Lytechinus pictus: one gene and its partners. The protein of the gene in region 4 binds, or shares a complex with, the protein of the main gene of each other region. Links are inferred from orthologs where the notes say so. Each region holds a gene or a part of one and is shown on either strand. Other genes may lie near its edges.

Region 1 (7,326 bases), on a different chromosome or scaffold from region 4:
CTTCTTGCAAAGTCCAATAATTATTTTTTTGTGTGTAATAATGTTCATTCGTGAATTTGTATTTGGTTTATGGTCCTTTGTATCATGTTTGAATTGGGAAAGAAAATATAGTCTTGAACCCAGGCGTGGTTCCTGTTAAAATGGGGGCATGTGTCCCTTAAACATTTTTTTTTCTTCTTTTCAAAGTGATCATAACGTGAAAATGCTGATAACATTTAATTTGTTGTTGTCATTTTTTGGATGGGGTGGGGAGGGGAAAAAGTGCCCCCTCCCTGTCATAATTCCTGGATCATCTACACTGATATATCAATTCCTACTATATATTTTTTTCCTCGCTCTTTCTTCCTTGAAAAAAATTTATCGTTATCGTTATCTCTCACTAATCGAGCACCTGCTTGTTTCGTATAATACAGTAGTGAATATAGGCATTTAACATCTTTTTAAACGTTTGCTTTTGTTTATTTTATTTCGTTACAGGTTATCCTTGGGAGTGTCTTCGTTCCTTGGTTCACAACGTGGACACCGCCCTCTATAGACGGCAAGGTAGGATTTTTTTTTTTAACTCTTGTTATTATTATCAGCATCCAAGTGATCTCATTTGACACCCGTTTGGGGGATAAAGTTGTCTTTCATCTCATATTGCTATAATACCACCTCTTTGTTTTAGATAATTCAAGTCATTTCTTACAACGGGGCGATATATTGACAAACACCTCCAACCCAAGAAATAAAAGAAGAACTCCACAGCAAATAATATCGATTTGATAGTTTTGAAAATTGAATGTTAAGTATCATGTTGCTCTGATAAACTCAAGGTTCAACCCCCCCCCACCTCCATATTGTTAAAGATTTGTTTTTTCATTTTGCTTAATCTATTGTAAGGAATTAACTTTTCATCATATCTGGACCCGTCAGTTGACTAATAGTTTTTTGCGTGTTCAACTGTATTACCCCTCCCCCTTGCAGTTCCTTGGTGACGTCACCCTGTCCCGGAAGGAGAACCTCTCTACCGACGTGACCTTTCAATTCCCATCAGGCAATCTGATCAAGATCTCGCCAAATCCGAAAAACCGCCTCCGGATGCGGGACAAGATCGCTTGCGGTTGGGTGGACACAACCGGTCAGCGGTTCGACATCAGCGCGCTGCAGATGTACCGGATTGGGGATGGGCTTTTCCCGCCCCCAAAGGCCTATCTTGAGACCTATTTTGCGGACGGGTACGAAGATGCGACTAGGTTTTTGAAGTTGTATCATATTTACGAGGAGAACGGGAAAGGTTATAAACCTCATCGGGACTCGTATGCTGCTATTCATTCGGTTGAGGATCTTCGGTGAGGACAAATCACCATGGATACAACAACCATCGAATCGTCAGGGTTTGGATTTCCGGTTATAGTCAGATCCGGGTGTCACGAGCTTTCATGGAATAATTTTCTGATACCAGACTTTAGGAAAAGCTTCGGAAATGCCTATAAAAGAGATATATATTGGCCCGTCATTGGGGAAAATGAAATAGGTTTACCATCGAGAAATTAGGCCTATATAATCCTCATTACCAGGTCCCTCGATCGCCGGTAGACCTTAAGCCGTCGGTCCTCTGATTACTTGCTTACAAGCATTATGCTAATTTCTTGGCAATCAGGTAAAACATCACTAACCACCAATTATTGGGCGAAAGCTCTGCTCCTTCTGGCAACTGTCATGCATGGTGGAAAAAGCATTTACCATAAGGCAATTTCCTGTAGCATATGTCGTCTGCTGGTCGTAAATCTCGTTCTACTCTGTCAGATTTGAAATTAGGAGATGATATTCGAGCAATAAGATAATAAAGTATAATTTTTACGAATTAAGTATGCTGGTTATTGTGAATCTAAATTTAAAAAAATCCCCTATAAGACCATTTCTACAATGAAAATTAATTTGTTTTTACTGTACACTTTCCGACACTTTGTAAAGTCGATCCCCCCTTCCTTTAATGTATGCCATGTTTTGTGCAAATAAAAACATAATTTTTATGATAATGATTGAATTGTGACTATATTTTTAGATTATCTATTTTCATTTATTTTCTCATTGGGGTTGACGTTGATCGATCAATATGGCATTTTTCAATCCCATTCACATTTTGATTTTCTTATGTCTTTATATTGTAACTATTTATATTTGTATGTATGTATTTTGTTTGTACTAATATATTTTTTTTTACTCAAGATGTGGAAAATAAATTGAATTGAATTGAATTGAAAGGAGAAAAGGGGGCGACAGGTTGACAGAGACAGAAAGAATGTGAGAGAGGGAGAGAAAGAGAGAGAGGGGAGAGAAGGAGAGGACCAAGGAAGAGAGGGGGAGAGCTAGGGAAAGGTTACAAAAGGGGAGAGATAAACAGACAGACAGGAAGAGTGAGAGAGAGAGTAGGGGGCGGGGGAGAGAGAGAGGGAAAGGTTACAAAAGGTGAGAGATAAACAGACAGACAGGGAGAGTGAGGGGCGAGGAAGAGAGAGAGAGGGGGGGGAGAAGGTTAGAAAGGGGGATATTAGAATGTGCATGTGAGGATGGGTGTGTCCGTGAGAGAGGTCGGGGAAAAAATGAGAGAGGGAAAGGTTAGAACAGAGAAAAGTGAGAGATAGAGTTAAAATAAGAGCGAGGGAGAGAGGGCGGATGAATAGAAAGAGAGGAGGGGGGGGGGGAGGTTAGAAAAGAGAGAGAGAGGGAGAGTGTGAGAGGGGGATCGGCCAGAGAGGTGAGGGGAAGACAGGATGGGTTTATATGGACATTATAGACCAAACCAAGATTTCCATCATAGTTGTTTTAAATTTATTTATCGGGGAAGGGCAAACCTACTAAATGGGAGCGTCTATTTTTTTTCAACAATAAAATTATATAATTAAACATACCCTCTTTTCTTCTTCTTCTTCTAATTTTTATTATTATTATTATTGTTATTATTATCATTTATTTATTCATTCATTTCATTCTTTTTTTCTTATTTTTCTCCTCTATGTATAAGTTGGGTAGTCACATGTGCTCTGCCCCATTTTAGCACCATTCCTGCCTATTATGCACTGACTCAGACAAAGTCAAGCCTTAAAAAACATTTGCCTACCAAATGTTCAAAAGAATGTCACAATAATAATGGCAATAATTATAATTAATATGTTAAGAAAGCCATATTCAGTGCTAAATCAATATATTTATAAAAAATAAAAACGGAGAATAGAAAATATGGAGAAAGATGGTGCTTTCCCACACCATCTTTATATGCATAAGTAAACAGATCAATATTGCTATTAAAGGTCATGTCCACCCCAGAAAAATGTTGATTTGAATAAATAGAGAAAAATCAAACTAGCAAAAAACTGGAAATTTCATCAAAATTTGATGTAAAAAAAGAAAGTTATGACACTTTAAAGTTTTGCTTATTTTTCACAAAACAGTGATATGCACAACCCAAATGAGAAAGTCGATGATGTCCCTCACTTACTATTTCTTTTGTTTTTTATTGTTTGAATTATACAATATTTCATTTTTTATTGATTTGACAATAAGGACCAACTTGACTGAATCATATAGTATTAAACAATGCTCGTTCAACATGTTCAGGAAGGAATTAATCGTTGTTTCACTTGACAATAAGGAGAAAAAATAGAATATTCCCTATTTCATATAATAAAATACAAAAGAAATAGTGAGTGGATGACGTCATCAGTCTCCTCTTTTGCATACCCGCCAGGATGTGCATATAACTGTTTTGTGATATATTAAGCAAAACTTTAAAATATCATAACTTTCTTATTTTACATCCGATTTCGATGAAATTTTAGCGTTATGCTTGTTGGATTTTTCTCTTTTTTTTAATCAACTTTTTGTTTGGGTGGACTTGTCCTTTAATTTAGGACGAAAATTATTACAGAAAATAAGACCGTTCTGTTTATTGCACCAATCTTCAGTTTTGCCCCGTTCACATTTTCTGCACCCGGCCGGCCTCCCGACAAACATATTTTGTAGGATCTAGCTTCCTCCCGGGGGGCGCATTAGGGTTAGTTTGGGGGCGATGATTTAATTTTCAGTTGAAGTTCATTAAAATATATTAATTTTGCAGGCCTATATGACCAAGCCCACGCAATTCCTTCCCCCCCTTTTTTTCTTCTCCCTTCTCTTTTTACTATTTTCAAAGTCGCCCTGCCCAACACCCCCCCCCTTCCGATACTTATTTTGTCCATTAGCCACGGAAAAATATCCGTGGGCGCGCGGCGGCGAGATACTTTTTAGATCGAAAAGAAAAAGTTTGAGACACTGACGATTCTGCGCATGCGTGAAATTCTATGTTGCCTTGTCAACGCTGGTCAATCAAGAATCTTTTTCCAATCTAGAATCCTACATATTTCTTCCGTCACGTAAGTATATTTTAGGAATTTGTTCTAAAAATAGTAAGAAATAATAAGTCTTCTCATTCCTAGGTTTCTGTATGTTTGCTTTATTGCAAAAAGTTGCATTTTATGTGTGATTAGTTTTCCCAGTTTCGAGTAAATTTATTTGTGTAGTCCCATACATAGAATTTCGTGTTGGATTTTTGACCCAGAATGATTTCTATTGTGTCGGTTTGTTTTTCTCTTGTAAAATGTAAGTTAAGACTAAGTGATATTCATATGTATCTTTAACGATTCTTATGTTTGTTGTGTTGGTGAGTTAATTCATGACAAAATCTGGTCGTGAGTCAGTGGAGTTCGACGTCTAAACTAAAAGTAAAACGTCTCACTCTCAAGAACAGAGATGTGAGAAACAGAAAAGAAAGAGAGAAAATTGCAAAATGAGTTGGCTCTTCTCCCCCTTGTTCTCTTTCGTCATGCAAATCTTTTTTACCTCTCCAGTCTTGTTCTTGTCCATTTTATTTATCTTCCTCCTGCACCTAGATCTATTCCTTTTTTACTTTCTCTTTTTCTTCCCATTTCTCAAAGTAGGGTGTCTGGAGAAAAAAAATATTTTTCTTATTTCAAGAAAATATCACATTTTCTTTGTGAATTTGAGGGGAAATGACCTTCAGACTGACAGAAATGTAACATTTTTGAAAAAAATCAAATTATTGGATGCAAAAAAGAAGAATGAAATTAGGTAAATTTTCAGCATTTCTCTGCCATAGACTGTGTAGTTAAGAAATGGACACACACAAATCCGAATTTTTAGCTTCCGAGAGCTGTTATAAATTTATTATTAATGCCAAAAACTTGTCCATAAAGAGTCCAATAGGATTTTTTATGCTCTATCTGATGGTATGATTTTTATAAAGATTTGGAAACCAGATCACAATGAAAAATTGCGACAAAGTGAAAAAAATTGTGCAAAACAGAAATTTCATTTTCCCATAGAAAACGCATGGAGAAATGGCAATCTCAACACACACAAAAATAAGGGTTTGCAATTTATCTCTAAATCCTTATTTAAAATGATCCTATAAACTTGTCCTTACTGTCAAAAGAAGCCCCTGAATTTTCTCTTTCCATACATGCCAAACACAAGTTAATAATCAATTCAGATCACATTTTTCTAGTAGCCTGAACTTCCCCGAAAAAAATGTGCCATATTTTCCCCTAAATCAGCCTGTTTTATGCTGACACTTTTCAGTGTGGCTTCAGACACCCTACTCAAAGACTCAAGCCTCCCCACTTGATTAAAAAAATTCCCCTTTCTCTCATTCTACAGACTCGCAAAATAAGAATCAAGATGCCAGGAGTAGGTGATGACGTACCTATGTACTGCTCACAGCAGATAAACATTCCCCCTGACCTACCTGATATCATGAAGCAGTTCACCAAGTCTGCCATCAGGACCCAGCCGGCTGATGTCCTTCAGTGGTCAGCAGCGTAAGTCCAAATCAGTGGCCTGTTTCGTAAAAATTTTTATGAAAAATTTGGGCAACAACAGATACTGAAATCCTTCCATATAATAGTAAATTTGTTACAGGAAAAGTGCATATGTTTTGATAACATTTCTTTATGAAATCCGACCCAGGATTTTAGGATGGGGCAGTGTCTGGATACTTATATTGATGTCATTTTTTTATAGCAGTAAATTCTTGACATGCATGCATTAATATAAATAATTCTAATAGTTTATATTTGTAATGTTGTCTTACATTACATTGCTTTCAAACAATTTATGAAATATTAATCACGACGTTCCCAGGATTTAATGCTCAATTAACTCCATCACAGAAAAATGTTGATTTGAATAAATGGAGAAAAATCAAACTTGCATAACATTGAAAATTTCATCAAAATCGGATGTAAAATAAGAAAGTTATGACACTTTAAACTTTTGTTATTTTTCATAAAAGATTGATATGCACAACTCGGTGACATATATGCAAATGAGACAAACAATGATGTCCCTCACTCACTATTTTTTTTGTTTTTTACTGTTTGAATTATACAATATTTTATTTTTTACAGATTTGACAATAAGGACCAACTTGACTGAACCATATAGTATTAAACAAGGCCAACTCCTCATGTTCAGGGAGGAATTAATCATTCTTTCACTTGACAAATGACAATGAGGAGAAAATAAAAATATTTCATATGATAACATACAAAAGAAATAGGAGTGGATGATGTCATCAGTCTCCTCATTTGCATACAAACCAGGATGTGCATATAACTGTTTTGTAAAATTATGCAAAACTTTAAAATCTAATAACTTTCTTAATTTACATCTGATTTTGATGAAATTTTCAGTGTTATGCTTGTTGGATTTTTCTCTTTTTATTATAAAAAATTAACTGTTTGTTGGGGTAGACTTGTCCTCTAAAACAACCTGTCTTGACATACGACAACTGGGTACTTCTGAAATGGGGTAACAATTATGAAATTAAGTTCTTTCAATTTAAAAACAGCATATTGTGAGCAGAAAACCATTTGCCTAAAATTCCCAAAATGTTTGTTTTGCTGAGCAATAACCAAAGTTATTTTCTTGGCAGCCCCACTTTTGACCCAGTTTAAATTGCAGTTAACCCGGAATCGTTGTCGTTACCCAGTGTCTTAAAAAGATTTTTAGCTTTTAATTTATTGGCTACCCAGTATCCACAAGGTTTGCAAGACTGAGATAATTGATTCATACTTTCAGTAAAACCAGAGCTTAGAATACAGCCTTTTGTCCTCATAGACTTGTCCTCATTTATGAATATTTAGTTGTTGTTACAGATAGCTTTTCCCCTTAGATTTCCGCATGAAAAAAACATTTGTGTGTTCCTATTTTGCAGATATTTTCATGCCCTTGCCAATGGGGAGACACCCCCAGTGAAGGAAAGGCTTGAGATGCCCATGGCCACAC
Region 2 (6,988 bases), on a different chromosome or scaffold from region 4:
GCTGTTTTCATAGCCAAAATTGCTGCTATATAAAATCGCATAATGCAGGCGAGACTGCCAGATTCGTTCCACTTTAATTAGCTCATTACGCTAATTTAACATTAACATTGTTAAAAGCGAAATATAATGTTATAGATGAATTTCTTGTCATAGAAAACTATGAAATAGCCGTATAATTAGTGTTTTTTGGCATTCTCGATATAAAATGACAAAGGAATATATATTTATAGGTAATTATATTGCTCAGATATGTTAATTTGCACATCATGCTTAATTAAAACAATAATGTTTGTTAAATCGGAAAAATAATGTCACAAAAGAAATCATCATCATTGAAAACCATAGGATAGCTGTATTAACTTCTTTGAGGCATTCTCAATATAAAATGACAATGGAATATATATATTTCACATATGTATTAGCGCATTTGGCAAAATAAAAAAAAATTGAAAAAAATAATGTCACAAAAGAATTCCTCGTCATAGAAAATCATAGGATAGCTGTATTATTCATGTTTTCGGGCATTCTTGATATATAATGACAAAGGAATGTATATTCATATGTAATTTTATTGTTCATATATGTTAATAAGCTTATTATGCTAATAATAAATGAATTCCTCGTCATATGGAATAGTTGTATTATTCATGTTTTGGGGCATTCTCGATGTAAAATGACAAAGAAATACATTATATATATATATATATATTTATATATATCAAAGCTGGGGGCCCGGGTTCGATTCCCGGCAGAGACATTATTCGACATATCATTTTTTTTCCAAAAGGGTAGATAGCTCTAGGGAACCTTGATTTAAGCTACGCCTATACAATGTTCTCTTCATCCATTTCTTTCACAATATATATATATATATATATGTATACATATGCATGTATATATTGCACATTATGGTAATTAATGCATTATGTTAATTATTCTAATTAAGACATTGTCATTGGTTAAAAGGGAAAATCACTGTCATAAATGAATTCATCAACATCGAAATCATTAGAAGAGCTGTATTATATATGTTTTCAGGCCGTTGTAGACAGCACTTTGACGATTAAATCTACATATCACACATTATGTTAATTAGTGCATGCTAATTATGTTAATTACAGCTATTATATTGGTTAAAATTGAAAAATAATGTCATAAATGAATTCCTCGCCATAGAAAACCATAGGAGGGTTGCAGCAGCAGCATTACCTATACGTATTGGGCGTTTTCTCGATAGACATCCATAAATACGTATGTACACTTGTAAACGCTGATTAGCCCATTATGCTAATTTGGCTGATTACGATAATTGCATAACCTAAATATTTAAAAAAAATTATGTATCGATTCCTCGTCACGGGACTTCTTCGAAAAATGATATAATTTATTTTTTTAAAGTCTTTCTGATTTAAGAGAAGTAGCGTATTACATATATGCTAATTAGATGATTATGCTTATTAGTCTAATTAAAAAATTGCTCAAGGTTTCCAAGGTGGCAACTAAGCTGAATTTACTTCAATACCCATCTAGATTACAAATCAACAAAAAAACTTGTATTTAACAACTTTTCCAGGTCTTGTACTTGGCCTAAACATGAGACCGTCTCTGGACTATATATATGCGCTTAATAGTTGGAGAGAGGGGAAAATTTCAAAAAGATAATGTCACCTGACGTAAAACATAAACATGAACATATTCCAGTTTATCCTAGATTTTTACTGTCTTTCTCTATCCATAGTGTTTCGTATGGTTTCTGCGATAAGGAATGGTTTCATTAAATAGCAATAAGCATAAAAGAAAAAATTGTTTCCAATAAGTAAACATAATCAGGCCTATAGTTGCTTTTTTAAAATAAATATACAAATCAACATCGACAGTTACAAAATAATTACAGAAGCAAAGTAACAAATGTATTCATTTATATTCTAAATAGGGTGGTCTCTTCATTACATAAAGTATACACTGTTTTTCGAGAGAGCCCTGTACATACAAAAATACATATAACAATCATGAAACATTGACAATGAAGGATTAATTAAAAAGACAAACTACACGCTATGTAAAAGAATCGAAATCATGGGGGGGGGGGGAAGAAAGAAAATTATATACACAAAGTAACCGGGAGTTAAACATGAAACTTGAAGTTTGTTGGTGATTGGAGCCAATTCGAGCCAATCCGCATCACGCAAACGGATACATGGAGCTACTATACGTCGGAAGGTTAGACGTGCCCCCAGAAAACTAGATGAGAAGACGTGAAAAGATGACAAGAAGACGAGGAAAGAAGACAAAAAACGAGATCCTCAATCTTGTCAAGTCTACTTAATTAAGCGCGAATATAGACAAGAAGACAAGATACATTATCTCGTCATGTCGACTTATTTAGGATGAGAAGACTGATCTCGTCAACTGAAGTCGACTCAGGACGAGCAGATGAGAAGACAAGATCCTCAATCTCGTCAAGTCGACCTATTTAGGACGAGAAGACAAGGAGACAAGATCCTCAATCTCATTCGTTAAGCCGTGAGGGCCGGAGATGCTCTACCATAGGCGGATCCAGCCCCCCACTGGCTGAGCAAAAAAAAGAAGAAAGAAGGGGAAAGAAAGGGGGAGGCCGAGAAAAGGAAAAATAAGAGGAGGAAGCTAGTGAATAAAATAAGGTGAGGGGAAGACTGGAAAATTCGAAAAATCTTTTTCATATCACGATATAAATTTTTTGCTCGCGCTTCAAGTAGGGCTTATGAGATTACTAGTATGTTGTTTAATAAGAATAAAGCTAATTAAGAAGTGTCTGTTAGGACTACCCCTACAGAGAAATAAACAAAAGTCTCTTTGAGCGGCCAATCGGGGTAATATAGGTCAACAAAATGTTGGGCCCCTTTTCGGCGAAAGCTGGATTCGCCCCTGACTAGTTTAAATTCATCGTTAAAATTATATTAAGGACGTTCCACAGTTATGTTTGTGCGCATTATGATCTGCGCATAGTTTACACTCTGCGCGCTGACGTCACAATGGATGAACAGGTGATTAATTAGCTGCGGGTATGAGCTGATTTTTCTCATCTTCTGCACTTTAACTGCAGATCCGATGTGTTATTTCATGAAGCTATAAAGTGGAATTATTCCATGGACCATTCAAAAAAACATTCTCTACAATTTCAAAATACTTTACTCTGCAGTGCTGCCAAGAATCACGAATATTACCCCGAGTTTGAATAAATGGTAGAGTGGTTTTGATTTTTTCTTCACATAGATACAACGCATTCGGCGCATTTTTGGTGTTTTAAAAAGCACATTTGCTCTAATAAAAATGATGATAGTTTAAAAACAAGCACATGAACCCCTATTTTTTAATGTTTGTACCGCTTAGGTATACCTTCTTCTACAACTCTGCAAATTTTGGTGAAAATGACATGGATTTTGAATAAAGTGCAGCATTTATTGTACGTTTGTAGTTTGTAACTGAAATTTCACATTTTTTAGATTGGGATTTTGTTATCTTTTATGCAATTTTTAAGAAATGGCAGTGCTGTTAAACTTAAAATTGCAAACAAATAGCACTATAAATAGATTCTCCATTCTAACGATACAATTATTAACTCTCTTGCGAAATTTGATGACTTTTTCATGTATTTTGACTGAGTAATAGAGGTTTAAACTCATTGTAGTAATCTTGGGTGGTCTAAAAATGCCAAATTCTTTTGAATGCGCAATTTTTAAGAACATCAATTTGGGTGAACTTTGAAGCTCTATAGCAAAAAATCAAGCACATGGACCTATGTTAATTTTTGCATATTTCGAATATTAAGGTTCTAAAGTATCTATGTGCAAAGTTTGGTGAAAATGACATGGATTTCACTTTAACTGTGGAACGTCCTTAAACCGAAAGTGGAAAAATTATTGAAAGGTTACATCGAGAACAATAAATTACTAGCAATTTTGTCTCGAATTCCGCTTCAATGTTTACATACCGCCCTCTACGTTGGTTGGAAACGAGTAATTGTTGTTGTGATTACAGAAATTGTTTTGTCTTGGCAACGGAATATAAATCAAACCATAATTCCATCTTAGAAGTGATTATATCAAAGGGAAGCTATCATAAAACTGTGAAATATATTGTTTTGATTGTAAGTGTTTTCATTTTATAAAAAGTGTAAATTATTTTATTGTAGACGGTTCTTATACCGGAACATCAAAATAAAGCATTCGTTACTCGGCCCCATATGCGCAGTTTTGTGTAAGGTTGACTTGAAGCCTGTCGATCGTCGAGTCTAGTTCAATCCATCGTTCGATAAATATGACTGAGATAATTGTCTAGACTAGAGTAATCTAGAATTAGATCTAGGCCTATGCTAAGCCCTAATGTGAGACGGCTAGTTACATGTACATGATGTAGGTACTAACCCAGGCAACCGAGTTGATGGTCTATCAGTATCAGTATCAACAGATCAATGTGACATGTTTCCAAATTCCGCGGGAATAGACACTAATACGACAGAGAGTCAGAGTAAGACAGCTGGCACAGGCAGCCGTCTGTTTCGAGTTTTTTAACATTAATTTTTTTTTTTAAATTTCTCCTCTTACACAGACAGCTCTCTATCGTGCAGCCACCATTTAGGGGGTTAACAATGCAAAATCCCCCCAGACGGGGCTCGTCGATTTTTGTCTTTAATTTTATTTCATAAAATTTATTTCATTTAATTTTATTTCATAAAATTATATAAAAAGAACTAAATCTACGGTACCAAATTAAAGATTAATATTCCGTTTTGGCCTGTAATGCACCAAAACGGGGAAAAATAAACTCAAAAGGGGAAAAAACAGTGACTTACTTCCGCTCTCGCGCAAGTGCGCAACTTCACTTAGGCCCTACCTGTTTTATCCGAACTTAATACATAGTAAAACATACATGTAAACATATGGCCATGAGTCCCCTGTACAGATCGAGCTAGAACTTCGGTCTCTGTATTTGGTGAGTGGAGCCAACGGAGTTCAGTGGAACAACTAACATAACAGAGACCGAAGCTTTTGCTCTACTCCGGGAAGAGAACACAGACACAGTCCCTATGGGCGGCCAAAAGTGCCCAAATTAACGGTTTGAGAAATAAAGACATTTTCAGAAATATAGGCAGCCATCAGAGAAATAAAGACAACCTCATAAATATAGACAACCTCAGAATTAAAGAAAACTTCAGAAACATAAACAACAACAGAAATACAGACAACCGCAAAAGTAAACAAAATGACTGAATTATAGTCCATCGCGAATAGCGCGAGCTCGTCAAAAATAGAGAACACATAATTTATGTCAGAAATTCTGTAGAGCACAGAAATTCTGTAGAGCTCAGAAATAAAGTACAGCATGTCAAACAAACTTAATGAGAGGGCCTAATGATAGATTATTAATCTACGATATGGCTTCGTGCATTCAGTAAAGTTAACTACCACATGCACACGTACTATGCGAGCATGCAGTATGGTCACTAGCGTACCTAAGGGGGGGCAGGGGCAGACTCTCCCCCCCCCCTGACGAGTCACAAAGCAAAAAAAAAAGGAAGCGAAAAAAGGGAAAGAAAAAAGAAGAGGAAAAAGGAAAGAGAAAAAAAGGGGGAAGGGGAAAAAGAAGAAAGAGTTTAAGAGAAAGGGGAAAACAAAAACTGGACTGCAGACTGTCGGAAAAAATAATAAACTGTCGGGCACACGGGGCTGTTCCAACTGATTCGGTTTTCTAGTTCCACCATCTTTGTCCGGTAAATGTCAATTGAACTGTACACTTTTATCGGTAAATTGTGATTTTTACGCAATGCGACTTTTAGAGCTCTCTGTACCGATGGTGAGTACGGACTGGACTAGATTTCTACTAAGTACTTTCCCTGTGAAAGATCTAACCCTAAATCATGAAAATGGGCTAGAACTTCATTTTCCACATTTATAGAATATCAATTTCATTTTTAAACAAATGTTCATTAAATAAAAACGAGAAATATATTTTTAGAAGATGGGGAAAAAACTTGCCAATGTTTACATAGCCATGTTGCTTTCTTGTTAGTAGCTAAGCTGCAAATAGAGTCTGCCGCCCTCTTTAGGTGTCTCATAGCTTAGCTACTAACAAAGAAAGCAAGATTTGGCTACATAGATGTCGGCAAGTTTTTTCCTGTCTTCTCAAATATATTTCTAGAAATTTCTTAATGAATATTTGTTTAAAAATAAAATGGATATTATATAAATGTCGGAAATTAAGTTCTAGCCCATTTACTGTAAACGCTGTTATTTTCGCAGGATTAATAATTCATGCTTGGCGGCTTCAAAACATATTCGCGGGATCTTGAATTCACGCTGTACTCTCCATAATTACAAAGTCACTTCTTTCTTCCCCATCTGTGAATTGTTTTAATTAATATTCAGCAACAAAATTGCAACGAAATACAATAGTTACAAAAAAAACAAAAAACAGATCAATCGAGAGTCTAAGTGCAAGCAAGACAACCACAGCAAGTAAACCATCTAAGATCTAGATGCCCAAAGTTATTGTTTCAGACTAGTTAAGCAGGGGAGCGTTTCATGAAAGGACTTGACAGATGTTTTATCCGACAACTCCCATTTTATCCGACAGTTACCATAGTAACAGTGCTTCTCAGCCAATCAAAATCCAGAAAAGTTGTCAGATCTGACAACTTGTCGGACAAAAATGTTGATGAAACGCCCCCCAGATGTTGTATCGTGGCCTAACTTACGCTATAAACTACTAACTACTAAGTCTAACCTTAATAATGGATCATGGAGTACTTCGATGGCCTGGTTGAAGCTCGGAAGCGATGCAAAGGTACCGTTGCAGAGCGCTCTGTTCGATCCTAGCTGGAGGATGTATACTGCCGGGGTATGTCATGTCCACAGGCCAGGTCATATACTCTTTCAGCGATGGATCCATTAGAAGCAAACTCAAACAACCACTCTCTACCTAAACTGTGTCTCCTATTTATACCCTGTGC
Region 3 (7,513 bases), on a different chromosome or scaffold from region 4:
AATTTCTTTTTTGGGGGAATCATGCATGGATATATAAATATTTATCAACTTTTGACCTTTGACTTTGGATATTGGATAATTCTGTATGATTATTTTAGTTTTTTTTATCTTCTTGCAAAAATTGCTTTTTGACATCAAAATCACCAACATGCAGCATTTTATCTCAAAGATACCTTTATACGATATATAGCCTATGTAAAAAGGTCACTGACCTTTGACCTTGAACTTTATGGGTTAGTATGCATTCTAGGTGATTAATTTTATTTTATTTGACCTTCCTGTAAGAATCTGTGCATTTTGACACCAAGATCACCAACCTGCGCCTTTTCATCTGAGAGATAGCATTATACCGAATATGGTATATAATGTAGAAAAAAGGTAATTGACCTTTGAAAGGCTTTGACCTTGAATTTTATTGTTTAATGTGCATTCTGGGTAATTAATTTGATTTTATTTGATCTTCCTATAAGAACCTCTGCATTTTGACACCTAGATCACCAACCTGCACCTTTTCATCTCAGAGATACCATTATACCGTATAAGGTATATAATGTAATAAAGGTCATTGAACTTTGAAAGGCTTTGACCTTGAATTTCATGGGTGAATGAGCATTGTAGGTACTTGATTTGATTTTATTTGATCTTCTTGTAAGAATCTGTGCATTTTGACACTATGATCACCAACCTGTAATATTTTATCTGGGAGATACCATGATACAGTATATTTAAAAAGGTCATCGACCTTTGACCTTGAAAAAAAGCACTTTCCCCAACCCGTATTCCTCCTAACTTTTTTTTGGTAAATGTTGACACCCATACCTACTCAAATCAGTCAAAAAACCATTTCCAATAATTTTATTCCAGTTGGTTACTAATTACGGGATACTAGTATCCCTAAATTAGACCCCAAAAGAGCCAATCTGGAATAAAATTATTGGAAATGGTTTTTTGACTGATTTGAGTAGGTATGGGTGTCAACATTTACCAAAAAAAAGTTAGGAGGAATACGGGTTGGGGAAAGTGCTTTTTTTCAAGGTCAAAGGTCAATGACCTTTTCGTATCTCTGAGATGGAAAGGCGCAGGTTGGTGATAATGGTGTCAAAATGCACAAATTCTTACCAGAATATCAAATAGAATAAACTTAAGTACCTAGAATGCACATTCACCAATAAAATTCAAGATCAAAGCCTTTCAAAAAGTCAATGACCTTTTTTACATTATATACCATACCGTATAATGGTATCTCTGAGATGATAAGGTACATGCTGGTGATCATGGTATCAAAATGTACAGATTCTTACAAGAAGATCAAATAAAATAAACTTAAGTACCTAGAATGCACATTCACCAATAAAATTCAAGGTCAAAGCTTTTCAAAGGTCAATGACCTATTTACATTATATACCATACTGTATAATGGTATCCCTGAGATGAAAAAGCACAGGTTGGTGATCATGGTGTCAAAATGCATAGATTCTTTCCAGAAGATCAAATGGAATAAAATTAAGTACCTAGAATGCACATTCACGCATAAAATTTAAGGCCAAAGGTCAATGACCTTTTATATTACATATGTATCTCTAAGGTAAAACGGTGCAGCTGTTCTTGGTGTCAAAACACGCATATTCTTACAGGAAGATAAAATAAAATTATGCATCGAGAATGCACATTCACCCATAAAATTCAAGGACAAAGGTCAATGTCCTTTTTAACATTAGATAATAATAATGGTATCTCTGAGATAAAACACCGCAGGTTGGTGATCTTGGTGCCAAAATCCAAAGACTTGTACAAGAAGATTAAACAACACTAAAATAAGTATAAAGAATAAACTTTCACCCTTGAAATCCTAGATCAGAGGAAATATATAATCTATATGATATAAAAATAACCAAAAACAATATCTTTTGTGTTCATATTTTATATCTGAATAATGTAAATAACCATGGCTAATTTGTAATGAAAACATGGAGGTTTCATAATTTCGGTCTGAAATAATGAAGGCCATGGAGAATGTATTTAGGGGTCAGAGGTCAATGAGCCCTTTCCAAAATATCAGTGGAAATTAAGTTTAAAAAGTTGATAACCAAATAACACTTTTTCATATACTGCGATGCATTGCCAAAAGCACTGAAAAAATAAATGAAATCAAGTATATAATTTGAAATGATTTTTATCTTAAGTAGCAACATTTAATGCATCATTATATCTAAACCAATGTTGTCGTGTCTTTTCTCTCCAGCGATAGGCCACTCACATCAATGCTATAATAAATACTATAAACTATTAGCTTAATCTTCTGAAAATGGATAGGACAGGTCTAACTCTCATGTCACAGCTAGCATCTTCTGAGAGCATTTCCAAACAGCAGAGGGATGATGATGATGATGAAATGAAGGCCATCATTAGAGCTGCAGCTTCTGTCATATACATGTAGTAAATTATATATATATCAACTTCAACAAAGGTGAATTCCCGTATAATTAGTATCTTTCATCAGTTCATTGCGAGCTGCCAGAATATCTTGTGATGCTAATGCTGCAAGACAAAACTTCATATCTGCTCTCTGCCGTACGTCACCCATGATGCTATTTCTACTAGGTATCAGTTTGTACAAGGATCATGTTTTTGGTCCAGAACAACTGATTGTTATCATGTACAAATGTGGCATATAACAATGCAATTCAAAAGGAGATAATAGCTTACAAGTACACATCCATCGACCTAACAAAACTCCTACAGCACCACTTCCAGTTCTTGAGAATCAAGATGTGCAATTATCAGTAATAATATAGATCCTGGTCTGATATCCCTTGACAGAACGTTAGGCTTTCATTGAATGGGCCAGATCAAAGTCTTGAAAATGTCAGAAGGTTTTCAAGAGTTCAATTACTCTTTGCTGAAGTTGAGACACTTAACTTCATCTATGACAAAAAAAGCTGCAGCTCTAATGATTGCCTTATTTTAATTCTTCGTCATTGTCCCTGGCTATATGAAAATGTTCTCGGATGATGCTTGTCATAAGACTTAGGCCTATCCTTTCCATTTACAGATTAAGTTATAGTGTTATAGTATTGATTGTAGCATTTGAGGTTAGTGACCTATTGCTACAGAGAAATTAGTACCTTGATTTAGATTTATAAAATGCATATCTAAATGCTTTTTTTTACACTTTTGTCAATGCATTACAGTATATTATTAAAAAAAGTGCTATTTGATCCAATTTTACCTCGAACTTGTATTTTGACATCATCATTGGTCAAGGATTCAACTATTAAATTTGTGTTCTTTTTCCACGCAGGTCAGTCTTTTTCCCATCTGAATCACTATACCTACGTGCCACAATCACGTTATATCGACCTATTTACTTAAATTCCCTGACACTATTGACATAGTTGATTGACCTTTAACTCCTAAATATATTTTCCATGGCCATTTTATATCCTTATTTCTTTCAGAGTGAAATTATTAGACTTCCAAATGTTCATTACAAATAGTTATCTTTCTTTCTATTATTCACAAATAAAATGTGAATATAATGGATTAATTTCTTTTTTGGGGGAATCATGCATGGATATATAAATATTTATCAACTTTTGACCTTTGACTTTGGATATTGGATAATTCTGTATGATTATTTTAGTTTTTTTTATCTTCTTGCAAAAATTGCTTTTTGACATCAAAATCACCAACATGCAGCATTTTATCTCAAAGATACCTTTATACGATATATAGCCTATGTAAAAAGGTCACTGACCTTTGACCTTGAACTTTATGGGTTAGTATGCATTCTAGGTGATTAATTTTATTTTATTTGACCTTCCTGTAAGAATCTGTGCATTTTGACACCAAGATCACCAACCTGCGCCTTTTCATCTGAGAGATAGCATTATACCGAATATGGTATATAATGTAGAAAAAAGGTAATTGACCTTTGAAAGGCTTTGACCTTGAATTTTATTGTTTAATGTGCATTCTGGGTAATTAATTTGATTTTATTTGATCTTCCTATAAGAACCTCTGCATTTTGACACCTAGATCACCAACCTGCACCTTTTCATCTCAGAGATACCATTATACCGTATAAGGTATATAATGTAATAAAGGTCATTGAACTTTGAAAGGCTTTGACCTTGAATTTCATGGGTGAATGAGCATTGTAGGTACTTGATTTGATTTTATTTGATCTTCTTGTAAGAATCTGTGCATTTTGACACTATGATCACCAACCTGTAATATTTTATCTGGGAGATACCATGATACAGTATATTTAAAAAGGTCATCGACCTTTGACCTTGAAAAAAAGCACTTTCCCCAACCCGTATTCCTCCTAACTTTTTTTTGGTAAATGTTGACACCCATACCTACTCAAATCAGTCAAAAAACCATTTCCAATAATTTTATTCCAGTTGGTTACTAATTACGGGATACTATAGTATATCTCTATGCTATCAACCTTGTCCTTGTACGATAATCACCTCGAACTTAATGAACGCAGAGGGCGCTTTATATTTTGTTACTTGGCAACAGAAGCAGCTGACATCGAGATTTCGTGGGCTAATATTCTCTGAAAAATCACCAAAATGCCTCAAAACGACATAGAGAACAGAATGATGGAGCCTCCTCAGGTCTATGTAGAAAGGACTCTTGCACTTATAAAACCAGATGCAATCGACAGAGCAGTCGAAATCGAGGAAATTATCCTGCAGTCGGGTTTCACTATTTTGCAGGTAAAATTATCAATATCACAGTCCCAGATACTGCAGAATGTGTCATGTTCCCTGTGGTTGCTGTGTCGTGATTGAGCTGAGTGACTGTGTGTGTCCTTTTGTTGGTTTGTCTTCAATCATGTTTTGTCGAATTGCATTTAACAAACCTTCTTCGAATAATTTTCCATCAAATACTCAGTTTGTTTCTTTAAACTAGGCCTTAACCTAGTTAAGTTCTAGGTAGGAATAGCCCTAGGCCCCTATTCCTTGTCTTTAGTTGTCGGGTCAACTCGGACCACGGGACATCTCGGACCGCGGGCCGAGTTGTCCCACCCATTACGAGATTTTTTTTTCACAAATCTGCGTCTATTTTTCCGTCATTTCGTAATTTCTTGTAAAGATTTTCTAGAGATATGGTCTGATGGTAATGACTAATGTTCTTCACTTTCTATTACTTTTTTTTCGCTGAAATAAAAAAAAAGTGTAATTTTAGGCGTTTTTCGACAGCTCGCGATTCCCATAGGCGCGCGTGTATTAACTGTGTCGGTGCTCGGCTCGGCCCCGCTCAACAACTGACTTGATTTTGTGATCATTTATCCTCAAGTTACCACTTTTATCGCAGAAGATGGACATTCTTGTATTCCATTAACTCCATTTTCTCATCACAAGAATAAAATTTGGTGCATTTGCACGATTTTGTTAAAGTTTTTCACCTTTTCTCTCTGGTCGCAAGAAGCGAACAACCGATGAACGGTCCGCTGCTCTTCATCGCAATTCTACGTAGCTCGGCCGCCTAAACTGGCGGGGTGGGATTCAGCCCGAATCCCCAATGGAAGTGGGCGTGCGCAGTCAAAGAGCTGAGCTTGACTGAGTGAGAGAGTGAACTAGAGCTTGAAGCTTGGCAGTGTCGTATAGGTTCTGCCTTTTTTTTGTATATATTTATAAGCCTATATATTTTTTTTATTTTTTCTATTTTTATTTTCCCTGGTGTAGAGCTTTAAGATAATAATTTAATATACTTCAATTTCTTTGACTGAGTGTGACTGTGGTGTGGATGTTTGAGTCGCACAAAAAATACTTTTACGATCAGTGTGGGGGCTCGGGGCGATTTCACTCCTGCCCCCGAAATGTGAAAAAATATTCGCAGTGTAGATGTGTGGGTATGCCGGGCTGAGGGTAGCCATCAATAATAAATGTTTATTTGGGGGCTTAATTTTTAACTTCAAATTGATTATTTTTAGGCCTATTTTTTTTTTCATTTTATTTTATTTTTTTATGTTGAGTGTCCCTGGTGTAGAGAGCTGAGTTTTAAGTTGTAATAATCAATATGCTTCAATTTCTTTGACTTTGAGTGTGACTGTGGTGTGGATGTTTGAGTCGCACAAAAAATACTTTTACGTGGATGGGGGCTCGGAGCCTCTTCACTCCTGCCCCCGAAATGTGAAAATGTTCTAGGTGTATCTGTGTGGGCATGCCAATTTCATTTTTATTTTTTATATTGAGTTTCCCTGGTGTAGAGAGCCGAGTTTTGGAGATGGTGAGAGGGGCGAGGATGTGAGGGATGGCGATGATGAGGGGTGGGCCTTGATGATGAGAGGGACGAGGAGGTGAGAGATGGTGATGATGAGAGGGATGATAATTTTTGATGACTCTTAATGAGAAGGGGGGGGGGGTGATGAGAGGGATAAAGGTAATGAAAGAGATGGAGATGAGGATGATGAAACGGACGAGGATGTGAGGGATGGCGATGATGAGGGATGGGCCTCGATGATGAGAGGGACGAGGAGGTGAGGGATGGCAATGATAAGAGGGATGGGGATGATGACTCTTGATGAGAGGGGTGCATGGAGATGGTGAGAGGGACAAGGGTGTGAGGGATGGGGATGATTATGGGAGGAAATCCCAGGGGGGGACGTGTCCCCCTACCAAAAATAGTAAAGGGACACAATATCAAATGTCCACCCTACTATTTTTCTTCTTGTATGATGGAGAACAAAATAATACATCATTCACAATTGAAATAATACATGTATTTAGGACTAAATTAATGACCTTATATTTGTGAAAACCCCCTTTTTTTTCTTGTCAATTATTTTTGGGTTATAAAATGACCCTACATTTTGGGCGATAACCTTTTTTTTTAATGCTTGTCAAATTTTCCAGCCCCAGGTCCCCCCTGGGGACAGATTTCCGCCCATGGGGATGATGATAGGGACGAGGATGATGATAGGGATGAGGATGATGGAGAGGGAAGGTGAAAAGCCGGCAGAGATGGATTTAAGAGAAAAATTCCGTCCGACGAATGCAGTCATGAAGATTCCGTCCCACATGATAACCCAAAATTATGGCTTGATTTTTGTTCTAAATCATGTTATGTGATGAAAATCACACTAGGCCCTACACGTATTTTGGTTATATTGAAAGAAAATAGGGGTAATATTTTTTCCAATTATCAATAAATTAAATTCTTCATTCAATAAAAATGACGAATTTATGATTTTGAATTTCATTTCTTTTATATAGCATGTGGTTTTTCTTTTTTATTAAATTTATTTTACTTTATTTTTCATCACTGTATCATGATTTTTGTCTCACCTGGATAGCAGAGTGAGACTATAGGCGCCGCTTTTCCGACGGCAGCGTCAACATCAAATCTTAACCGAATAAGTTTCTGAAATGACAGCATAACTTAGAAAGTATTTGGACATAGTTCATGAAACTTGGACATAAGATTAATCAAGTATCACTGAACATCCTGCAGCGAGTTTCAGGTCACATGACCAAGGTCAAAGGTCATTCAATGT
Region 4 (6,907 bases):
ATTGGTATGGTTACATAAACAAAAATGAGTGAAATCATGAAATCTAAGCTGAAAACAATCACACTGTAGGTCACCAACACAGATAAGCACATGTGGGACAGTGTATTTTACTGCTTGGAAAATCTCATGCTTATTTTGCTAATTTTTCAGCAATTACATAATTTCTTCCATATTCCTTTGGAACATAATGGAAAAAGACAACACAATCTCATTTTATTAGATTCTGTATACCATTTTGTGAAATTATACAAATTACATTTACGTCAGCAGCTCGGTTGTACATACTCATGACAAGTTGGGAGAAATTTTGTATTCATGACTAGAGATCTGAATTGATAACCGTTCACCTTGTCAGTAAGTGGTTTGTGAATTTTTCAATTTTTATATTCAGAGAGCTCTTCATTAGTTGGTCATTGCGTTTTTGTTGATTGCTAAAGTCTTCAAAAGTGTAGGTCACTGCATTTTGTGAGCAATTTGCTTGGGTTTTACAGACAGGCATGTTCTACCTTAAAGGTCAAGTCCACCACAGAAAAATGTTGATTTGAATCAATAGAGAAAAATCAGACAAGCACAATGCTGAAAATTTCATTAAAATCGGATGTAAAATAAGAAAGTTATGACATTTCAAAGTTTCGCTTATTTTTAACAAAACAGTTATATGAACAAGCCAGTTACATCCAAATGAGAGAGTCGATGATGTCACTCACTCACTATTTCTTTAGTTTTTTATTGTTTGAATTATACAATATTTCAATTTTTACGAATTTGATGATTAGGACCTCCTTGCCTAAAGCACAAAATGTTAAAATAATGGAATTCCACGTGTTCAGGGAGGAATGAAACTTCATTTCACATGACAATGACGAGAAAATAAAAATATTTCATATTTCATATAATAAAATACAAAAGAAATAGTGAGTGGATGACGTCATCAGTTCCCTCATTTGCATACCGACCCTGATGTGCATATAACTGTTTTGTGAAATGAAGCGAAACTTTAAAATGTCATAACTTTCTTATTTTACATCCGATTTTGATGAAATTTTCAGTGTTATGCTTGTTGAATTTTTATCTTTTTATTTAAATCAAGTCTTTGTTGGGGTGGACTTGTCCTTTAACTAAGGGAGCTCTGTCACCTTTAGACAGCACAGCTCATATACCTAGATGAGGTCAAGACTTGCAGAGGTAACCATCGGGATGTAGTCTATTTTTTTTCAATTAATACAAATAAAATAAAAGTTTGTACTTACAGTCCATCGATTCTTTACTCTGTCATCTTGCAATTCCAGCCCATCAATTCACGACTCTGAGTTCTTTGCCATGATAGGATGTCAAATATTTTCTATTTTTGAATGGACAAGAACTTGGAATCACAGGCTGATGGGTCGAAATTGCAAGATGATAGAGTATAGAATTGTAAGTGAAAACTTTTGTTTTGTTTTTATTCAATTCAAAACTAGACGCTTTTTACAAACGCGTATCCCCTGCAATTTACTGCATCTATCTGAGCTATGCCGTCTCCGGCGGCAGAGCTGCCTGAGTTATGATTATGATTCAATCCTGAGCTCTACTGCCACAAAAATCAGAAACTGGTTGACTCGGGGAGCTCCGCTGCCAGACATCATGCTTTATGTTCATAACAAAATTCTCTTAAAGTTATAGACATCTTATAACATGAGATGGGAAAGTCTGGATCTATTAAAATCAACCATCTCTGTCAATACATGGACAGACTGACTCATTGACTGGATGCCAATTTTGTCTCTTTTTAATTTTAATATGGAAAAGAGGAATATTGGTATGCCTTTCAAGATGATAGAGTAGACTTAAGGTCCAATGTAAGTGTAAGTAGAAACTTTTGTTTTATTTGTATAGGTCTAATAGCGACTTTGTCATTTTAAGCCAACAGATACCCCCACGATCATGACAATTCTTGACTGCATCCAGGACATCCACACGAGTCATGACTGAGCTAAGCTGCCTGAGCCGAGCTCTGCCTTCTCGGCGCTAATGCAGTTTCGCACCAGGCACCACTAGCCGACATCAAGCAAATCTCCCCACCAGTAATTATTCACGAATGTCACAGAAAAGTCTCTTAGTCACATTTCGAGGTCAATATAAAGTAGGGACAGTGATTTTCCGCGATCGCGGAAAACGGACGGAATTCACGGAAAGGGCCTTTTGAAACGGAAAGTGGCATTTCAAACGGAAAATCACGGAAAACGTATTTTCCCTCAAAATACACAGAATAGCAACAGAAATTACTCCAAAATCACAGCAAAATGAGAATATTAAATGGCCAAAAAACCCCAGAAAACACGATCTCACTTCGCTACTATCATGACAATTCACACATCGTGACTGCACTCGACATCAGCACACTCGTTTGTACCCCGCACCGTACCCGTACCCGGCCGGCCGGGTTGGGCTTCACATGCACACATATCGTTCAACTACATGTACACGGTCGTGTGTTGCTGCCCTCTACGTTTGAAGATGTAACAGCACGATATCGTGGTCTTAAAATCCAAGATGGCGGATTAGGGAAAAGCCGTTGACTGATGATAACGATGTCCAAAAACCCCCAAAATTATCGATGAAATATCATTTCACCGTGAAATAATGCTAATAATATGAAAGGTGAGGATGTATGCATGCAAAATGGGTGTGTAAAAATATTTTATGCACCCGCATAGATCCGATTAGAACGGATTTTATTGTGTTGTTGGTACAGTAGCAGATACAAATTTTGACCAGTGCGAGTGTGCGTGTTGTGATTTTGCTATTGAATGTGTAAACGGAATTGTCACTTTTCCATGTGTACAAAGTCTATGGGGAAACGGAATTTCCGTTTTCTGACATGCTGAAATGGAATTTGAGATTTTCTGAAACGGAAAAGGCAATTTTTTGAAACGGAAAATCACTGTCCCTAATAAAGCAATATGCCCACCATTTTTCCAAATATCACGATCGGGAACAGCTGTATTATTTCGGCTCCAATCCCGACGTTATCGTTCGAATTCTCAGTCAAACATAGCTTCGCTTGGCTACGCCTACGCCGTAATTTTGATATAGACTGAAGTACATTGTAAGCGACCATAAGATTTGGTTGCAGCAGCTCACCCGTTTGTTTGCCGCATGTTCACACGATTTTGGTTGCTAACTTCAGTCCATATAAAAATTACGGTGAAGCCAAGCGACGTCAGCCGTGACCAGTGGGAAACTACATTAATAAAATTACTTAGCATCTTCTTTTCTGCAATGCAACTTTTTATTCATGTTAATTGTTATTGGTTAACAATAATAGTACATCGTCATGCCATGCCCATGACCTCATTGGTATTTTTTCTTTTATCGATCTCCGAACAGCGGAGGAACTGCGAGAGAGAGGTACTAGGATGCACTTAATGCACTTTTCACTTGTTTCAACTCATATTTATCACTAACCCATCATCACAAGCAGCTAGAGCATGCACTTAGCAGTCCATGCACAATCAAAATACCACCACATCCAGGGCAGCGCTGCGCGACATCTGCCCCGATAGAGATGGCGCTCACTGCACGGTTCACTGGCTCTGCATTGCACCCACACGCAATCCACACAAAACACGACTCACGAGAAATATGGTCGAAATAAATTGTTCACCACGGGTCATCCAAGATACACCCTCTAAAATGACAATCAATGAAATTCTCAATGCATCATTCAGTTATGACTAACAGCTGTTTATCACACCATTAATATGTAGAATTACAGATTTCAATGAATTATACGTACCGAATGTGACTAAAACTATGGGCTGGCTTGTCTGCTTTTTGACGTTCTCCTCTTTTTCAATCCACTCGTTTGGTACTCGTTCACGATTATTTTTTGACTCGGATCGATATCGAACGAGCCTAATCCGATCACGTTTAGAGATTCAGAAATTAAAGATTTAATCTTCTTTTTTATACAAGGATTTTTACTCTAAATTTTTTTGATTAAAATTATTTTAAAAAGATTTTTCTAATGATGTAGTTTATAAATAGAACAATCATAAGGAAAACATTATTTCAACCTCGTACACTCAAGCTGTGCAGTTTCCAAAGCAACGCTGCTATCTCTGTGAGATTAATACACAAAATCACAAATTTAGGACGAATTTGAGAGATTTTAAAATGTCAGATTACGACGATCAAGAGTACGACGAGGATCAAGAAGGGGTTGATGAACCTGAGATCGGCCAAGAAGAAGGAGGGGATGAAGAAGAAGGAAATGAACAAGAACAGGAAGAAGAAGAGGTAGGCCTACCGGTACGGTGCGACGAGTGCGATTACTAGCAAAATTTATACGGGAAAGTCTGGGTGGGATCTCCAATCAATGCCGCTAGTCGTAGTCGTCGTAGACCAAAAGCTTCGGTCTCTGTTATGTTGGTTGTTCCGCTGAACTCCGTTGGCTCCACTCACCAAATACAGAGTCTCAGAGACCAAAGTTCTAGCGCGATCTGTACAGGGGACTCAATGGCCATATGTTTATGTATTATTACGTTCGGATAAAACAGGGAAGTGAAGTTGCGCGACAGCCGAAGTAAGTCACTGTTTTTTCCCCTAGGCCCTAATTTAAGTTTATTTTTCCCCGTTTTTGTGCATTTCACTCAGGCCAAAACAGAATAATAATCTTTATTTTTGTACAGTTCTTTTTATGTATTTTTATGAAATAAAGACAAAAATCGATAATTAAGCCCCGTCGGGGGGGATTTTGCATTGTTAACACCCCTAATGGTGGCTGCACTATAGCTAGACAGGAATAATCGTCGTTTCTGGGGATTTATTCAACAATTTCTGACATTTTACTATCATCCCCATTCACCTTCTTCTTCTGTTGATTTCCTCCAGTCCTGGAGAACTGCGAGATCCAGTGGATACGCAGAAAAAGTGACGGTAGTGTGTTAGTGTGAGCTCGCATGTGGTATCTCATCCTCCCTTTTGCCGATTAACTGTCCACACTTCGATATGCTTTTTTACATCGAATTTATACTCTAAAGATTTATAAACTACTAGATATCAATCTTTCATATATAATCAATGAATAACTTTCAACGAAATAGATTAAAAGGTATGAAAATGGTACTTTACCGATGTTTACTTGCGACTTGGACACCAGAATCAATCCCAAAATTGCAGCCAAAATATGAGATATTTACAAACGAACGGAGAGTGCATCAACAATTTACGAATGTGATATCGATATTGCTTTCGATATTAATTAATTATGCGATCTGCTCCACATGCGAGCTAAACCGCTACGATCACAGGTAGCAGACGACATTCGATATATCGAGACATTAAAAAGTTAATAACGATAATGACGTCATTCAAGATGGCAACTTGCTAGAAAAACCGTCAGCTCAGGTGAAAATGTCTTGGATGAAAGATTTCTCGATCATCCAGAGGATTTTTATCAATAACTCCGGTCCAACGTAAAAAGCCTCTTAATGTTTATTTTGGCTAAATTTCTAAAGCCGACTTTACAAATTTACCACATTGCTATATTGTGCTGCTTCAGAATATTTCGTTTATTATCCACAACTTTGTTGAAGTTGATATCTGTTGTCTATGTATCCGCAACTTGATAAAAAAAAGTGGCCATCTGCAATGTTAAGAATATCACCAGGTTCTGGGGCTCCGCCCCAGACCAGTGGCGGCACCAAGGGGGAGGCACGGGGTAAATGTCATAAGCATCCTACTATAGCTGCAAAGTGCTCCAAAACAGCTTTTTCATCATCATCAAACTGAAAAAAGCCCCCACAAAGATACAGAAAGTAATAAAAATAAATATACAGTGCAGTGGAGTGAGTAAAGGATACCACAAAAGTGACTTGGCTGGGGATATCTGAATTTCAAAAAGAAAAAAAAAATTCAATAGCTGCTCTTTAATCCGATACCTCAATCGCAGAAAATTGTCAAGAAATAACAAAGTTCTGTTTCTTTGAAACAATGCTTGCATTTTGTTTGAAAAAACATGTTTTTGCCGGTTTCCCACCAAAGCTATCGCACTGTTAACAAAAGACTTCATGCGTGGCTGATCGTCGACAAAACAGAGTGTCCAGTCAGTATGACAGCTAGCCTGTTAAACCTCTTCATTTTTATGAAATTACTGGAATTCAAGCATTATTTCAAATTAACAGAACTTTGTTATTTCTCGATCATTTTCTGTTATTTTCTGTTATAATTAAAGTGCAGATATTGATATGATCCTTTATTAAAATTGATTTTCTTTTTGAAACTCAGACACCGCCCGGTAAGTCACTTTTTGGTATCCTTTATTAAACTTGATTTTGCTCACTCATGCGTGAATAAAGAATCATCTGCATCATTCCAGATGAAAGATGAGACTCTAGGCTTTACAATGAAAGGTAAATTGTCTATTATATTTGTGATTAAGTTATGATAAATCATCAACAAATTTTGGTTTTATTTCTTGTGGGATGCACTGTATACGTGTAACTAAATGAATAAATAGATGGATAAATGAACGAATAAATAAATAAACAAACCAAACATGACCGCACTCAGCCAATCATTTGATTAAGATGTTGAAGGGAGTTATTTAATGAAAGATGTAAGGATCGGTTAGAAATATAATCCGTTGTTATATTCTCGTTGACTTTTCAGAAAATTCCAGAGGTTCTTTTAACAGAAGAAGTGATAGCAGAGAATCTTTCTTTACTCTGCAAAACTGGAAATGGCTTAGCACATGCTTATGTCAGACTAGACGTGAAAGAGAGGTATGTTATCTGGCAATTTTTTTTTCCAGTGTGAACTGACCCATGGACAAAGCTGTTCTCTTTCCAAATATTTAATCATAATTGATATGAATGAACGTGAAAGGTAATAACATATAGGCCTACATGTAACAACATGCTTG

What was found.
Region 1: leucine-rich repeat-containing protein 23-like (region 4) and ropporin-1-like protein share a complex: the UniProt entries of both Homo sapiens proteins name them as parts of the axonemal radial spoke complex. The link is inferred for Lytechinus pictus from reciprocal best matches to the Homo sapiens genes LRRC23 and ROPN1L.
Region 2: leucine-rich repeat-containing protein 23-like (region 4) and DPY30 domain-containing protein 1-like share a complex: the UniProt entries of both Homo sapiens proteins name them as parts of the axonemal radial spoke complex. The link is inferred for Lytechinus pictus from reciprocal best matches to the Homo sapiens genes LRRC23 and DYDC1.
Region 3: leucine-rich repeat-containing protein 23-like (region 4) and nucleoside diphosphate kinase homolog 5-like share a complex: the UniProt entries of both Homo sapiens proteins name them as parts of the axonemal radial spoke complex. The link is inferred for Lytechinus pictus from reciprocal best matches to the Homo sapiens genes LRRC23 and NME5.

The regions. Positions count from the first base shown.
Region 1 is NC_087253.1:25,059,268-25,066,593, forward strand, and holds the start of ropporin-1-like protein, read left to right. Parts: upstream 1-4,306; 5' UTR 4,307-4,394; intron 4,395-5,697; 5' UTR 5,698-5,718; coding exon 5,719-5,858; intron 5,859-7,255; coding exon 7,256-7,326. Other genes in the region: patatin-like phospholipase domain-containing protein 4, read left to right, coding at 478-543, 967-1,335. UniProt on the Homo sapiens protein: Functions as part of axonemal radial spoke complexes that play an important part in the motility of sperm and cilia. Important for male fertility.
Region 2 is NC_087262.1:9,009,043-9,016,030, reverse strand, and holds the start of DPY30 domain-containing protein 1-like, read left to right. Parts: upstream 1-3,964; 5' UTR 3,965-4,126; intron 4,127-6,988. UniProt on the Homo sapiens protein: Functions as part of axonemal radial spoke complexes that play an important part in the motility of sperm and cilia. Plays a crucial role during acrosome biogenesis.
Region 3 is NC_087262.1:20,226,925-20,234,437, forward strand, and holds the start of nucleoside diphosphate kinase homolog 5-like, read left to right. Parts: upstream 1-4,487; 5' UTR 4,488-4,583; coding exon 4,584-4,730; intron 4,731-7,513. UniProt on the Homo sapiens protein: Functions as part of axonemal radial spoke complexes that play an important part in the motility of sperm and cilia. Does not seem to have nucleoside diphosphate kinase (NDPK) activity.
Region 4 is NC_087258.1:18,346,244-18,353,150, forward strand, and holds the start of leucine-rich repeat-containing protein 23-like, read left to right. Parts: upstream 1-3,878; 5' UTR 3,879-4,158; coding exon 4,159-4,281; intron 4,282-6,654; coding exon 6,655-6,767; intron 6,768-6,907. UniProt on the Homo sapiens protein: Essential for sperm motility and male fertility. Plays an important role in the proper assembly of the third radial spoke (RS3) head and the bridge structure between RS2 and RS3 in the sperm flagella.